Linked DNA regions of Styela clava. The protein of the gene in region 2 interacts with the protein of the main gene of each other region in a biochemical or structural test. Links are inferred from orthologs where the notes say so. Each region holds a gene or a part of one and is shown on either strand. Other genes may lie near its edges.

Evidence for each region. The genes of interacting proteins can lie anywhere in the genome.
Region 1: the proteins of uncharacterized protein LOC120333780 (region 2) and WD repeat-containing protein 82-like form a complex in vitro, tested with the Homo sapiens proteins (2 studies listed by BioGRID). The link is inferred for Styela clava from reciprocal best matches to the Homo sapiens genes SETD1A and WDR82.

The regions. Positions count from the first base shown.
Region 1 is NC_135254.1:14,481,980-14,490,636, forward strand, and holds WD repeat-containing protein 82-like, read right to left. Parts: upstream 3,374-8,657; 5' UTR 3,315-3,373; coding exon 2,370-3,314; 3' UTR 1,053-2,369; downstream 1-1,052. Other genes in the region: protein ABHD18-like, read right to left, coding at 1-1,000; uncharacterized protein LOC120344988, read right to left, coding at 7,293-7,454, 8,030-8,221, 8,497-8,639. UniProt on the Homo sapiens protein: Regulatory component of the SET1/COMPASS complex implicated in the tethering of this complex to transcriptional start sites of active genes.
Region 2 is NC_135264.1:11,332,220-11,340,741, reverse strand, and holds the start of uncharacterized protein LOC120333780, read right to left. Parts: upstream 3,430-8,522; 5' UTR 3,339-3,429; coding exon 3,192-3,338; intron 1,914-3,191; coding exon 1,812-1,913; intron 1,698-1,811; coding exon 1,527-1,697; intron 961-1,526; coding exon 861-960; intron 191-860; coding exon 13-190; intron 1-12. Other genes in the region: voltage-gated purine nucleotide uniporter SLC17A9-like, read left to right, coding at 6,082-6,197, 6,584-6,781, 7,126-7,274, 7,812-7,911, 8,393-8,522. UniProt on the Homo sapiens protein: Histone methyltransferase that catalyzes methyl group transfer from S-adenosyl-L-methionine to the epsilon-amino group of 'Lys-4' of histone H3 (H3K4) via a non-processive mechanism.

The DNA.
Region 1 (8,657 bases), on a different chromosome or scaffold from region 2:
TCATAAATCTAAGGGTCTGTTTCCGCCTTCTCTCTCTGTCATCCTTCTCCGATACCTGATCCCCAGCAACATTTTTCATTACATATGTCGGTTTCAGAGCACCTTTATCTTTCACATAGTCTTTACCTAGTTCATAGGAATCCACAGTGTTATATTTAATCAGGTCATTGATTTGGGTCTCATAATTTGGATCTTTTGCATATTGAGATTCCAACACCCTCCATGGTATGGCGTTACTAAGAACCCCTTCTGTCCAAACTACAGAAGAAGAAGTCCAAGACATGCAAGGTACAACAGCGACTGGTTTAGGTGAAGTTGTGGCTGCTAATGAAGCCATATGTCCACCCATTGATATACCAGTAAGACCGAACGGCCCAAAACCTTCTTTTTCAAGCCATTTTAGCAGAACTTGAGTTTCTAAAATAAGGCATAGACCCATTAAAAATAGGTCTTTGACATGTAGCAAACCGGAACGAGATTGATCTTTTGGTTTTCGTAAACCATAGTACGGATTTTCCAACAATAAAGAAGAAATTCCATGCGACAATAACGGCTTAGCGATGAGTTCTCGTCTTCTAGAAAACCCATGGTCGCCCGTTCCAGCCATATGAATGCACAGCGGATTTAAGTCAAGTTGTTTTATTCTTCTTTTCAAAGAAGTAATACTATCTGGTTTGGATTTCCTTGGAGTTGCAGGTAACACCATTTGGAAGTGTGACGTCTTACACTCTTCTGGTAGCAGTTTGGGTAAAAGTTTACAGACTGGAGAAACGAAACTACCATCGACAGTCACGCACCCATTGCTTGAGACTGGATTTTCCAAGGTCACATTAGATTCAGATATGTGATCATTAACATAATCCAAACATGAATCCCTGTTGGAAATCACACCATGGACCTTCAATATTTCCTGCAGTTCTTCTGGTTTACCCCATCCTCTGGTATAGAATTTTGTTAAGATGAGCCTTCGGTAGAATAAATCCAACTTGCTTAAATTCATTTTGCCACTCCTCGGCCCTCACACTTTTAATCAAATACTTTATATTATGTCATTATTCTGCAAAAAATTTATTGTAAAAAGAAATTGCAGCAACACAACTTACAATTTTACACCCTACAAAAATCACTTGCACGAAAGACTTCATATGCAAAAAAGATTTTCCAATCAACACCAAGGTCATAAGCATAAAGCCTGTCCACAACAAAAAATGCAAGTTCAAATCTGAATTACAGGTAAAACACTTCCAAGAGCTCAAAATCCAGTCAATTTTAATTCCAGAATAAAAGCATGCATATTCAGTTGTAGCAGTTCACCAATAAATCATGAAACATTTTTAGCATAATCCAAAAGAGAGCATGTAGTTCTTGTAGCATTTCTTGCACAAACCATATTAAAAGAAGGATAAACATGGGCATCCTCTAGTTAGGATAAGTTTATCAGGTCCAGGGATTTCCAAGATGAATCAAAAACATTTAAAATTGGATACATTTAAATTAGTTAAGTATTGATTTGGGGATTATTTTCATCTATCATTTAAAACATTTGACATCCAATAGTCAGACAAAAATAGACTTCAGTTAACTTTTATTAAGAATAAATCCCAGTAATGTTTATTCCAACTATCCTGTATTAACAAATTTGAGTGAAGTCGTCGATGAACAAGACACAATTTAGACACATTCGAAATTTATATCCAAAATATTGTTTCAGAATAATTTATATAACTTTAGCTATCCTTGAATTTCAGCCTGTTACGTACTTGACTAGTGGGGGGTGGTTGGGCTAATATCATACTTGGAAGTGGGGGAGAGACATTTTTTCCCTAGTTTCACTAAGGCCAAAACTTGTTAGTGTAAAGTGATATGATTCACATTTTAGCAAAAAAGTATGAACTATCTTTCAACTGTTATTATACTAGCAAATTGAACAATAAACTGAGACATTCCAGCCTAGACTAATATTTTGAGGACTCTCTCATATAAAAGCAGTCACTCACTCAGCTACTCCAGCCGTAATTTACTGTAAAACAAGTCATAGACGGAAAACTGTGGGAACAGAGTTCTTTAGTCATTGAGGTGAAAGTGTCTCGATTTCACTAAGCTTATAGGAAGCTGACCTAAAAATGAAATCTAAATAATCATGACAGCTTTCAGTAAAAATGAACAGTGACAGTCGACAGCAATAAAAGTGTCAAACCCAATAATTAAAGTACTGAACCCAACGTGGAGCTAAAAGTTTTTTTGTCTTTACTCAAAATGTTTTTATCAACAATAACAAACTAAGTGCTCATGGCGTTACGGCTTTCATCCGCATTTGGCAGTATGGAGTACAAAAGGCTTATCAATGCCTTTATGTCAATGAATCATCTTTATTCTTCTACAGTAGGCAACCAAAATGCCATGTTAGAGCATGTTGACGCAATCATCATATATCTCGGATTAAATTGTACGCACTGAAGTGGGCCTGGATGTTTTCCATCTAAAACAGCCGTCTTGCTTCCGTCTTCAGTACTCCAAACATGGATTCGACCATCTTGTGATCCAGATAGAATATACTGTGCATCTGGGCTGAAACTGGCCTCTAAATATAAACCTTTAGTGTTAATATGACCCATAAAAGTTTGGAGTGGCTCGCCATGAAAAGCATCAATCAATCGTAATGTTGAACCATTGGTTGAAATTAGGATCATTTTTCCATCGGAGCTGAATTTTAATCTTGTCCAGTCACAGTCTTTATCAGGAGTCAGTCGAAACGTTGTAAATGGACCTTTATCAAATGATCTCAAATCATATAATTTAATCATTTCAGAATTTATTCCAGCTGCAAAAATCAAACCCTCTGGATCGAAAGAAGCGCATGGTCGGCCAGGGAGATGCATTAAACCCTGGCAATTTGGAGATCTCAAGTCCCATAAACGTATTGTCTTGTCCAATGATCCAGATAAGAATGTGTCATCCACAGGGGACATACTTAAGGTCACTACTCTTTTTGTGTGTCCAGTGAAATAACGAAGATACTTATTATCATGTAATGATTGATATCGAATTGCGTCATCAACTTTGTTTGAAGCATAAATTACAGTGTTTCCAGCGTGAGTGTAGTTTATGTGATCGACACCATATTTTTTACTGTACAATGTTCTCTTTGGTTTTCCTTCTGTACAGCAATCATAAATTACAATCGAATCGTCATCGCTAGCTGATATCAAATTTTCACCATTTGGTGCAAAATCGACGCTGTTTATTTTTTCATTATTTTCACGAAAAACTTTGGCAACTCGAAAACTTTTTACTACAGAATCCAGTAGCTTCATTATAATATTTTTATATTCCAACTGAAAGTTATCAACTAAAAATAAAATGATACAATAGTTCCATCATAACATGAACTAAATGGGGTATAGGAATACAGAATAACTAACCAGATGGCATGGCTGATGTAAACAATGAAAATTTACAAGTTTAAGTGTCTAATTACAAGTCTAATTTTACAAGATCACACCATATGAATTAAGATGGCATGAACTTCTTTATAATGCCTATACTAGTTATATAAAAGGAGGTAAATTTCACGGTCATATTTTAGAAAACATTATTTCGTTCGTTACCCTGAGTCCCTGGGAGAATGACAAATGTTATGTGTTCGTTCACACTCTAGTTTACTGCATGTCACAAGGTGTGTTTACATTTTATTTACTGCATTGCTAAGGGGTAATTACAACTCAGGGTAACAAGGGAATGAGGGTCAAATTTTATCATAATTGTTTAAAATGCAACAGAGAAAATATTAATCACTGATATTTGATTAGTGATTTTATGATTAAACTGGCAATGAACAGCTAGAGTGGAGTCTAATACCAATAAGTTTAGGATATAAATCTCTAAGTAATTAGAATTGACCATATAACCAACATTGCACTTTGATCACTATCCTACTAATTTTCAGAAGCAGAGAATATGCAAAATAATATAGACAAATATTCTGCTATACAAAGTTGATTTTGTGCTGAGAGTTGCCACATTTTACCAGACAATATGCCAATTTCGGGTGGATTCAAAAGAGAGAGAGAGTTTATTTCATTTTGTCAAACCAAGAAAACAATTTATGCACACATAAACAAATACCAAAAAAATAGTTTTCGGTATATGACTGGAGGGCAACAATCTGACCTTTGGGGGTCATCAGAGTCAGTTGCCACCCAATTATATTAAATAAGCAAAAAAACAACTGAAGATGAACAATAAATTTACAAACTGTAGGCCTATATCTCTTTGTGTTAGGAAAAATTATTTATGAAAAAATATGGCAACTCTCTATGACTAAAAAATCAGAATATTTTTTTTTAAATGTCTGAAATTTCAAGATTTTATCAGTTTATACTAAGGATGCCGTATTTTACCACTGAGAGTAAAATATTTCTAAATGTATTGGATAAAATGATCGACTTATATTATTGTTCCTTGCAATACAGCAATATGAAAATGCAAATGAAATGGAACTCAAATCGATATGAAATAGTAAAATTAATAGATAATCAAATTACTTGAAACGTTGCCTATAAATTGCCTGGTTTTAGGGAGACCCTATGAGTTTTTTTTAAATAAATCATCCAAATTGAGGTTTTGAGGAGGAGCAAAAAAAACACATTTTTAACATATCTAAGAATATTATAGTTTATAAGAGCATTTGTTAAAACTATTTAATGATAGCATTGAGCTATTGAGTTGTTCAATACAATTCATGTCAATCTTAAAATATTCTATGAAGACTGATTTTTTTCTTTTACTTCAAGATTGTGCTAAATTTGATTGGTGATCATTGATATGTGAGTTTGTGTATTTGAACCAAATGTTGGGACATCAGAGAACTGCGCCCTACTGTTAGAGAGTCAAATGTTAATCATACATATATATTTATGGTGGGATTTCCGGCATTACTAATTTATGTACGGTAGTTGAGAGGCTAATAACATTGTAAGTATAATTTTATTGAGACTCCATACTGCCATAACCAGCATCACAGACCTTAAATTAATAAAAACATGCAAAAAAAAAAACTGATTACAAAATCAGTAGAGCAAACAAAACCTTGAGCGAGGTTTAAAAGGTAGGCTACATAATTCAAATAAACAATCTGTTGCCTAAAAGTGGTCGGTGTTCACTCATCTAGTATTTACCACCAAAGTCAATGCACACAATCAACGTCATTTCAGCATGTCATGACTGCATGAGGTACAGTGTCAGAGTGACTCAACTCACCTGACTGATCCAGCCTGACTCAACCAAAAATGGAAGTGTGGGCTACAGGCTACAGCAACGATGGCATGAAAATATACTTTATATCGGTTCACCAGAAAACTTATGTAATATATGAATATTATGTTGAAACTGCCACAAGATTTCTCATTCCTACATTCGCTACCGCTGTAATTGAACATCCTTTGCACCAAAGTTACCCCAGCCCACACTCGCTCAGCCTGACGTCAAGGGGTTAACCAACTATTTTACCACTTTATAAACGTTAATACAAAAAAACTTGGTGGCTATGACAATATAGAGACCATATGTGATATACACAACGCAAATGCAATACCAAGCCCGGCCCAGTTACCCCTAGTATGGCCTGTCAAAAACGAGTGTGGGATAGCGTCTCGAGTGTGGGCTGGGGTATTTTTGGTTCCTTTGCGACCCTCACAGCCTTATGAATAATTCGAGTTCAAAACATGACACACTATAACTAACTCGCTCACGGAGTATTGAACATAAAAGTTTACCAAACACTACTGTACTCTACATTAAAATACATTATCCTAAAATATCTTCACCAGGAAGCAAAACCATAATGCATGCCAGCCATGCCGACGCAAACGCCTGCGAGACGCGACACGCACGTGATACTTATTAGCATATTATGCATTTTGAATTCATGATAAGTGGCGTGATGCTGTTTGTACGCCTACACACAGTGTTTGCATTCTAAAATAATTCAAAGATTGATATTTGACTAAATTCAACTGTTTCATTAATCCGTAACAGGATTTACCAATTTATGAGTTATTTTTTTACTTTGCGTGCGTTCATGAATAACTATACGCACTCGTGATATTTCAATGAGTGCGGGGGAAATACATCATTTGTTCATCGTGAAGCCAGAGTTCTGATATTAGTGTTCTATAGCAAAATTTACTTGTATATCCAGAAATTTAAATAAAAATATGACGTGTCTTTTTCAGATGATTGACACGCGTGCAACATGATTGGTGATTTGCCAAACCTATGAGCATATATACATATACATATGCTCATTGGCCAAACGTATCGATGCCGCATATACGGTACTGGTGCCATTATAGACGATGCCCTGTTGTTCGAACGATTTGCCGCAACAAGACATATGCATAATCTTGTTCGTTTTATTCCATGACAACCACACCACAAATGCGAAGGAATGTAGGGTTTTCCCATCCGCATACATTATTATGCATTGTAAATTTATGGCGGTGCTCAATCCAGTTTATTTAGAGGTGCACCGATATTTCGCCGAAGATTTTCTGTGCAATTACAGCCCCCCGCTATACCTTCTTCATTTAGATCTAACATAGATGATATTAAATATTCTTATTGAAAAAATCAAGATCCATCAAATTACTGCAATTCATATTTTGACAGGAATGGTCCCAGCAGAAGATTATCACAAGAAAATACTATTCTTGTCAATTCCCATCTTTTAGCGATACAATCAGGCGTTTACCATTAAAACAATTGCGACGACCAATATTTCCGAGTGAAAAAGCTGTGCGAAGCTGCAGCTTTATTTCCTTTCAATCTCACAACCTTTTACTAGCTGAGGCACCAACATCAACTTGTGAGCATCTCACACTATTAGGCAAAATTAATATATTTAAATCAATCAAACAATATAAACAAATATTAAACGGTGAAACTCTTGACTAGATCTATTGCATTTTCACTGAATTCCAAATAGAAAACTATACCATATTCACACTCGAAAAATATCGGAAATATATAACCCATAGAGGCGGGAACTAAGGTTGGGTACTGAAAGTAAATAGGTATGGATTATCTCCACTAACACGCCACATTTTAATCTTTTGAGAATGCAAAATGAAAATAAATTATTCGATGTAACAGTAATTACAGTATATCAGCTGAGGTTAATCCTGGTCTTGATATGAAACTCTTGGGTCTATGAGATAATACAGTTATCGATATCCAACTTGATATATAAATTAAATGTGTTGGTCTCCATACAATAAATTTGGGAAACTTTATTACAGCTTCGACAATTCCCCCTGATTGTCACCCACATTGTATTCCACCCAGTCTTGTGCGATTGGGGCAGAAAGCATTTCATCACTTAATTTGAATGATGAACAGAGATGAAGAGCATCAGGTGCAAGATCTCGACATGCTTCAGCTGCAACTTCATTTACCTGAGTATAGAAAGTTAATTTTACCGTATATTATAACCATTTAATTCTGCAATCCCTAATGTTTTAAGTATGTCAAACACATGAGTGATAGGATAGGAAATACATATTATCTCAGAGGATATGAAAACTGATAAAATTGCTTAATCATATGCTGAAGCACGGACTCCCTATTACCAGACCATGTCTGGTATGGGATTAGTTAGCCATTTATTTGTTTGAGATACATGAACTTGATGGTGGAGGAAGCCGTAACCGATCACAGGTTATATGAACCACCCTATGGCGGTGAGGAGTCCAGAAACCACCGCAGGATGATCAGAGGTGCAATGTGAAGCATATTCCTAATGTTTAGCACGACACGCCACACCGCCAAGCCTGCTGTCACCATGTCAGGTATGGTATAATTACGCAATTCAATTGTTTCCATGCATAGTTATGATAAGTAAAAAAAAGTCATCTTTTTAATTTGTTACTCGAACCTTAAAGATTTTGCAGGTCCGAATGTAGTCAGAGTTGTTTATCTGAAATAGCCCACTTTTAAAAGATGGTTGAAAGTACGATATAAGATACTTTACCTGCTTTGCTATTGAAGGCGTGATGACCTCATTTGCCGCAAACCATCCAAGATCACGTTGAATAGTATCAATCAAAAATAAGTGATATAATTTTGATAAGATGGTTTTGAGTGATGAATGAGTATCTGGAGAATCAATTGTAAACTTCACCCTTTCGCTAATCAACCTTTCTCCATAAGATCTTGCAGCATTCTGGATGAAAAACAGATTCAATAAGTAATCATTTGAGTAAAATATTCAAAAGCAGAGCGCAACTTAATCATATGGCGAACCACCGCCTCTTGTCCGGTTACCACTCGTATGGGATTAGTTAGCCAGATATTTTGTTTCCAGATGCATGAGCTTGATGTTGGAGGAAGGCGCAACCGACCAGCGGCTACATGAACCACCCTACGACGGTGAGGATAGGAAAATAGTCATTCAATTATCTTTTACAGTCTAAAAAATACAGTAAACAAACTTAGTACCTGCACAAGATCGCTCTCTTGTAACATCCATGTATCGAAGATTTTGTCCATTCCTCCTTTCATTAATTTCACTCCAAGTTCAGAGAACTGAGAAGTCTCCCTTAGTTGGAGTAAATAATGAAGATAAGCCGGGCTCTTCAAATCTGAAATAGAAACAAAGG
Region 2 (8,522 bases):
ACATAAACAAACCTGGGATCATCTTGCGATGATTTTCTCCTTTCTTTTTTACCGTGATGATGATGATGTTGTTCTTTATATTTAATTGACATAGTAATGCCATCCTGCGTATGTCGAATTACATCGGGTATTGTTTCTGCCATCATCTCACCTCTCACTATCCGTTGGAAGAGCTTGTTCAGAATTTCACCTGTGTATGAGATACAAGAAAATAGTAAAACTAACCTGAATTGGGTGACAAAAATAATTTGTTTGGAATAGGAATTAGGAATACGGAAGGAGTTGGAGTCGTATTATGAAACCACCAAATTCAACCATATGAGCCAAAAACAAATTTGAGATCTTCAAAATCAAGTTAGAATTTCAAGACTGTAATGAGGGTAATTTTTTGACAAAAACTAAATATTTAATATACCTAATATCTAAATATCTAATATTTAAATCAACTAAGAATACTCATAAACCATACAGTAGGATTGGATAATTTTTATAGTCATTTGGTTTTCTCGTACTTAGGTCAAAATTTTCTTAAACCTGTTTTCATCCAGACGTTGGAAGTCGTTGGTGGAAATTTCTTCCACACTTTACAGCTCTAGTTAAATTTGCAAGTATTCAATCTTGCCTAAAAATTTGTAAAAGTGCAGCAAAAACATTTTATCCTAAATACATTGAAGATTATTCAATCCAAACTTTATTTTGAAAGTAATTAAATAACATATAGCCTACTACATATAGACATTCTCTTATTCGTATAAGATAAACAACAAAGATTAAGTACGAGCGCCTTAAGTGAAACAGACAACTACATATGAGCAGCGCCAGGGTTAGAATGATTAGTGAATAGGATTCACTCAACCAACCTTTACAGTCTATTTGTGCATGAATCACATTTCCCATGACTGAAGTCTGGTGGAGTTTCTTCACACATTCAGATGCGGACTTGATCGATGAAAACACAACCTGTGAAAGTGAACAACGAGATTAAACAGGATGCTCATAAACCCCTTTACAGTTTTGCTTTTGTTATTAAGTCAGTTCTCAATATATCTTATTAACCATGTTTTAATCAGGTATTTTTACTTCATTCAATACATCTGTGAGGGCCAAAACAATACGGCCCATGATATCCATAAATTCCCTATGCAATTTTAAAAAATTTCTAAGACTTCATGGACACCCTATATTTTTTTCAGGAAATATAATTTAAATTAAATACGATGTTCATTCATGTAGTTTGAATATTGATATAACTATGTTAGCATCTTTAGGTTGGAAAGAAATATTAGTTTAAGACTGGTCATCCATTAATCAGTTAGGTAGACTGTACCAAACCAGATGGACTATACACGAGATTAAGTGACAACATTGTTAGATGCGAAAGCAGTACAGTTACCATATCAAGTTTAAGCCTATTAAGCATTTTTCATTGTTACAGAATAATAGTCTATTTAAATAACAGTTCAGTTACACCATCATAGTTGAACATATCTTGCAAAGATTGCAAGTGTATAAAATCAGTAACACACCTTAGATAAACCCATGTGCTTTTGTGTCTTTGGGTGATGGTAAACCCTCACGCGTTCCAGTTTTCCAAACTTGATGCACATCTTTTCCATGAATTGTTTTGTGATGTTATCATTAAGACGAGAAAAAGTGACCTCACGAGGAGGAACAGCGCCAATGTACCACTCGTCAACCTGCCAAAATGTTGTAAATCGTTATAAATAGTTTTACATTGTTTTATCATAAGCCATAAGCAATTCAAATGTGGACAACAAATGGCTACAATTATTATTACAATCAGTAATCACCTTATATCGTGGAACAGGTAACTCACATCGCTCTCTTCTTGACCATAATCGATTCATCCTGGGTCGTGGATCTCGTAACACAACAACACCCTGTCCATGGTTCTAAGTGAAAAAAAAAATAAAATTTAAAAAAAAGATCTTTCAATAAAGATGGTTTCACACCTACAAAACACCCCTTTTTAGGAAGAATTAAAATCCCATTAACTTATCTAGTTACCGATATTATTAAAATATGTGGGTAAAATGCACAGTACATGAAAAAACAACCTTCAAACCACTCCATAAACTAGTGGTTTTAGTAACAAAAACAGTCTCCCATATTCAATAATGATGTTGAAACTATCAATCCTTACAAGTATATATAACAGTACAGATAGATAGAAATTAACAAAATATAGGATTGTTAGGAATTACGAAAAATCACTTATTTTTATCACTTATTATTAGGCCCAATTTTTTTATTTTTCAAATTCACGATTACATCTTCATATAATATTTAATATGATTCTTTTAACATTTAAAAAAAAAATTACTGCCATTGTGGTGGATAAATTGGACATTAGACTTCATATATTTGAGTATTGCAGTCATGTTAATAAGAATATCTAATACGCAAATTATATTCGTAGGCTGTAGCGCATAATTGCAGTACTCACAGATAATCACATTTAAATATGCAATACACAAGATAATGACTAGAAATTATTCAAAGAGGGTCATTATCCAGCTGCTAATAAGCATCATTATTATCAACAAATCCATACATGTTCATCTGCGATAGAAACACATGTCATGCATATGATATAGTCCATAAATATTTATATATATATACTTCCAGCTGCCAGCATAACATTGGATTGCAAGTTATGCAAACAGAATTTTTGTTTGTTTATGTACAATCAAGATATAACTTCATCTAAGAATCAACGATATCACTATCAACAGCAGAAGCATTTTATTATTATTAATAGATTTTGCTCAAATCAGAGTGGTAATTTTGCATAGGTGAAGAAGATTTTCATCAGCAAGCGTACTTGCAAGGCAGCCACTGAAATGACACGAGCTACTGAAACCATACATAGATTTAGTTTTGGTGCAGTACAGCACAGTTCTCTGATTCTAAGAATAGCATGGTGTGCATGTGGCGCATGTGCCGGCATGCCAGGTACCGTCATTTCAGTGACAAATATGGTGTTTGTATTATTGAACCAAATGTCAGGAATCAGGGAACTGTGCCCTGCTGTAGTATACATGCTACCCATCTGAAAAAATCCAAATACTGAAAATAGACCAAGCCAGAATAAATTCAGTTCAATATAAATAAATAAAATCAGTAATAAATATAGTGTCATGAATAAAATTACTGATTGAAACACTCACTTCTGTATTATAAGCAACTCCCTCATATCTAAAGAGTTTTTCTTCACCTCTTCTTATTTGAGGGTCGACCAATAATTTATAATCTTTTTTCTTAATTTGTTCAGCACCTACTCCTTGGATATGGTTTTCTTTCTTCACATCAGACATAATATTAATCCTTTATCAAAGGACTTGATAGACTGGTGAATCCATTTTTCTACACTATAGATAATTATTGACTTTAACAAAAGAAATATAAAAAATCAGTGTTGAATTGTTAACAAGCAACGTGCAAGTCTGCACTATAAATCTTTATACTCTCCATAGCTCTGTAGCCCCACATTAGAAGACATCAATTATAACAGTACTAACAGTTGGAGTTACGTGAAACTAACTACCTTTCCTTGCTCTATGCCTTTGCGCAGGTGGACCCAGATGCGTATAACGCTATAGCAAGAGTGAAAATGACTATTCTATTCAATTCAAGAGTCTTGCTGCACACTAACACAAATGTATTTCTGTAAGGTTTCGTCTGACCGAGGTCAGACTTCTTCTTTATGTGCATGCAATTGCGTTTCTTTTCACAGTTGTAAAATGCTTGTCTGAAGAAGTTTAACCTCGTACATTTGTGTTAGTGTGCAGCAAGACTCTTGAATTGAGTAGAATAGTCATTTTCACTCTAAAAATAATTAAAACAGGGACTGCAAACCCCTGTTTTACGAGATAGTCTGGACCTCCATACTGGCAAAAATCTGCAAATCAGCCCTGTCAACAAATTAATAGCGCAATTTAAAAACGCCACTATGGATTCCTTGGAAAATAAAAAAAATTGATTTACCAAAGAAAAAGATTTTTTTTCGTAGCATTCACGAAGTTTTAGTAAAAAAATGCAATTTTGGTCACATGACGGCCAACGCACGTCACAATTATTTCAGATTACCATTGAGACAAGCATGACGCATCTGCTGTCGTGTCATATGCCCTTGTTTCAGAGACAAAATAAGTGTTTGTTGCATTGAACTCAATGCCGGCACATCCTTGAATCCTGGAATCAGACAACTGTGCCCTACTGTAGCTAGCTCTTGATATTTTAGTTGTCGACCGCGTCTGAGTTAATGCGTGTGACCTTGCTTCGAACAAGTTTCCTTAGAGAAAAATTAGTGTTGTTAACACTAAAGATTTAAATTCAGAACTAAAGAATCAAAACAAACAAAACAATCACACTGGTGAGAAAGTGCGTTTGGTACAATATACTGATATGAGCAAATGGATCAGATACTTTGGCTGTTTGGTAAGGTTAATTAAACTATTTTCAACAAAAGTTGATGTGTAACTGACCAAAATTTCGTCCTGATGGTATAATAAATACAGGTATATCAGAAATACAGAAATAATAAATATGTAAATCATATCCTATAAATTAATTAGTAACTACAGAGCTAGAAGAACTGAAGAATAGATGAATTTGTAACCACAAAACTAATCTACATTATTCAGTGGCACCAGTCTATTTTCTGGTCCATTGCAATATCAAAGAGTCACAGTGTCATACCTTGTCTTTGTACAACTCGATGAAGCGCAGCCTAGAATTTTGAGACAAAAAGCCGCCTACATTTTACCGCTGCAACGGCGGTTTTGCCACAAACTTATAGCCTGGGCCTGTCTCAGAGCCAATCTACTCATGCCTCTTTGACTCACACTAGGAACTGGAGGATATTACTTACCTTACCTTGGCCATTTTTATCTTCAGAACAAGTGGTACAGCCATCAACAAAGCCATAGTTTTCACCGAGCCGCCATTAGCTCACTGCCACCATCTTGTGACGTGAACGAGAATGAAATTTAGTAGGATAGGAATAAAATTAAAAAATTCTATTATATCTGATTGAGATAGGCCGATAGATAGACCGATAGATCCAAAAAGAGGGAACCTAACGAAAATTAATTATGTGGCAAATAACGACCTTTCATCACGATACCACTACTATAAACTATCAGCCCAGATTGTTCTCCATGTTTGAAAAATGAAAATGACGATGTTGTTATTTTTTCAAACAACTTGTAGGGTTGTAAAAATGGTAGCTACTGCAATTTTATTTTCGCTTGGAGGTGAAATAAATACGTTTAATTACGGCTTAGCGGCATACGTCAAATGTGCTATGCGGAAATATCGTAACCAAGATTTCTAAAATGTTTGTTTGCCTTCGCAGTGCCTGACTAAAAAGCTTGGTTGTGATTGTGTACTGTGATCTATGTCCGGTACATTCAAACTGTATTGATGTGTGATTTTTTTGGACACTGAATACTTTTGGACACTTGTTGTCAGATGGTGTTGGAATTTCATCGCCTCTTATGCTGATTGTGAAATTCAAACATACTAATTGCCATATACAGTATATTCAGTCACATAATATCACGAATGGTAGAACATTCGGAGGCAAAATCGCGTTGCCATATACAGTATATTCAGTCACATAATATCACGAATGGTAGAACATTCGGAGGCAAAATCGCGTTGATGCTTTTATCATATTTCTACATATTTGGCTTAATATAGACAAAAACAAAGAAATGATAGATGTGGAATAAAATTGATCGATTGATGTATTATTATGGTATTATATATTTGTATTGAAAATCGTACATACAATGGAAGTTTTGGTTGCTCATTTGTTGATTTTCTCCACTACGAAGTAAACCTAACCCGGATAAAGAAGAAAGTCGTCCGTGTCTTGTTTACGCCACGTCTATATTCGGTAACATATATTTCTAATTTATAGTTCGCTGAGAAGGGTGAAAGCGCCACCGAAATTTGCAGTTGTGTATATAGATAAAAAGCTATAACAACACGGAATCAGAAGTTGTCATTACCAATAGTTATTGATCATCGCGGCACTGCAGTATTACCGGTATGGTAGGAAATCATGTCATAAACTTGGATTCAAAGTCATTAAGATTGCATTCTCCGCGAGATGCAGGAGGAATAGACAGAATCGTGAAAAAACAAAAAGGATCAAATTGGAGCAAGTTAGTTAACGAACTTTTGTTTTTTCAATAAATTTTCGGAGATTTCAGATTAACTGCTGATTGACAGCAATTCCATAATTATATTTTTCTGTTCTTGTATTAGTGGTTATCAATTTTTCATTGTTTACTTGCTACAGCAGTACCGTACAGTGCCATGTTATGCTTGCCTTGGAATCTGAATAAAACTTATACTTGTATTATTTGATGAGCAAATTAAGAGGTCATTTATCCTTTCAAAGTGATTTCTAATATATTTGAACAATTGGGTATTTGGCATGTTGTTGTAGCATTTCATGGTCGTCTAGCTGTAAATATAAAATATCTTCGTTCATTTTGCCTGTGATATCTCTGTATCTAGTGATATCCAGCTTGTTCTTTCTTAACAGATCAGAAGAGAAAACATGGATTGCGACATTATTTATTGGCACAACTATCCTATTTTCATCTCGCGTTGCTATGCCAGTGTGTGCTCCTGCAATGGCGAAAGAGTTCGGTTGGAACAAAGAGCATCTCGGTACTGTGATGGGATGCTTCTTTTGGGGTTATGCAATGACCCAAATATTTGGTGGATACATGGCTGATCGGTGAGTCACTGGAATGTCTATATCTGCGTATTTTCTTATTCAGGCTTCATCAGGAGACTTCATGTTACACATAAAATTACTTTGTGATTAGCGTATTTATATTTGTTATCTTCAGTATAATTGAAATTTATGTTCTCTGCTTATATGTTGTAATTTAATTTTGGTGAGATGTATGTCCAATTGTACTAACTGACAGTCATAGCTATTTATGTTTAATATTCGATTGTGTGATTTTCTTTCAATTGTGTGCAGTAACGCACTTCCTAAACTCGTATCATACCTTCTTAAAATACAGCATGTAAATATGAAATCAATTCTCTTACCTAATGAATACTATATTTCAGTATAGGTGGTGATCGAATGCTATGTATTGCTGCTCTTACATGGGGTACGGTGACATTTATAACTCCATATATTGCCTATTTATATGATGATCATACAGTTACGTTGCTGTTACTTGGATTGTTTCGAGTTATACTTGGATTATTCCAAGGTATGATAAAGAAAATATATGGCTTTTATTTTGATTGTAATTTATTCAAAATACAGATTCAACAAATTTTATAATATGATCACTTTAAAAATTTTCTTAACTTTATAATATAGTCTTTTTTGAATATCAGCCAGGGACATAGTTTGGAAAACCACAAGAGTTCAAACTCATTTTAGTGCAGTTTGTTATCTTAATTAATGTAACTCTGGTTTATTGAAAAGGCTCAATCATAATTATGCTTCATTATAGAGTTGGTGTAAAGATAGGCTCCGAAGTATGTGTACCAATATGAAGGTAATTTTGTTCGCCTATTCTACATCAAGTTACGTGTAAAAGGACTGACACCTATGGGCAGGGGTATGTTCACTTGGCTAACACAGATAGTCCCCGAACTCATAACTAAAATGAGGTAAATCGAAATAAAATTATGCCCCAAATCTAACCTGGTACACATACTACAGGAGTATCGAAAATTATTTTTTTAATTTTTGTATATCTTGAGCTTCATCTATATTTTCCCTGTTTACTGTTTTGCAGGTATGCATTATCCGTCAATGACAAGTTTAGTCAGCCGCAACGTTTGTGAGAAGGATAGATCATTTGCAATGGGTGTGACCTCCACTGGATCAAATTTTGGGTAGTTAATTGCTAGTATATTTGTTTTTTGAGCCAGTTCTGTAACTGTATTAAATACACTTGACCTAATTCCAAGTCGGATATCAAATATTTTTGACTATCAATTAGCGTCTGACCTGAAAAATATTTCCTCATTAAGGAAATGTTGTGTTACACACCCATTGACGAGATATTACATCACTGTGCTCATTTTACATTATAACTATAAATGTATATTGTTGTTCTTCACTTTTGGAACATGTACTGTCAAAAAAAACTTTCAGCTGTCTTACTCGTTTGACTGTGAGCTTCCATTTGTGTTATAGGCCTATATACTTTATAATTTGTGTTGCTCTTGAGTCTTGACACTCACTCAATGGTCAAGTAACTTCTCTCATATACATTTGCTTTTGAGTGAGTGCAGATGTCCTTTGCTTTGAGAAATTAGTTTATGAAAAATGTTGATGGATTATTCAAAATCCTGTTTTTTTTAAATATTTCAGATCTCTTCTTTGTGGTGGCATTGGATCAGTTATTCTTGAGTCACACGGCTGGCCAGGAGTCTTTTATTTTGTTGGATTATGCGCTTTCGGTTGGGTAATACACTCGTGGCAATTGTCTAAAACACAACAA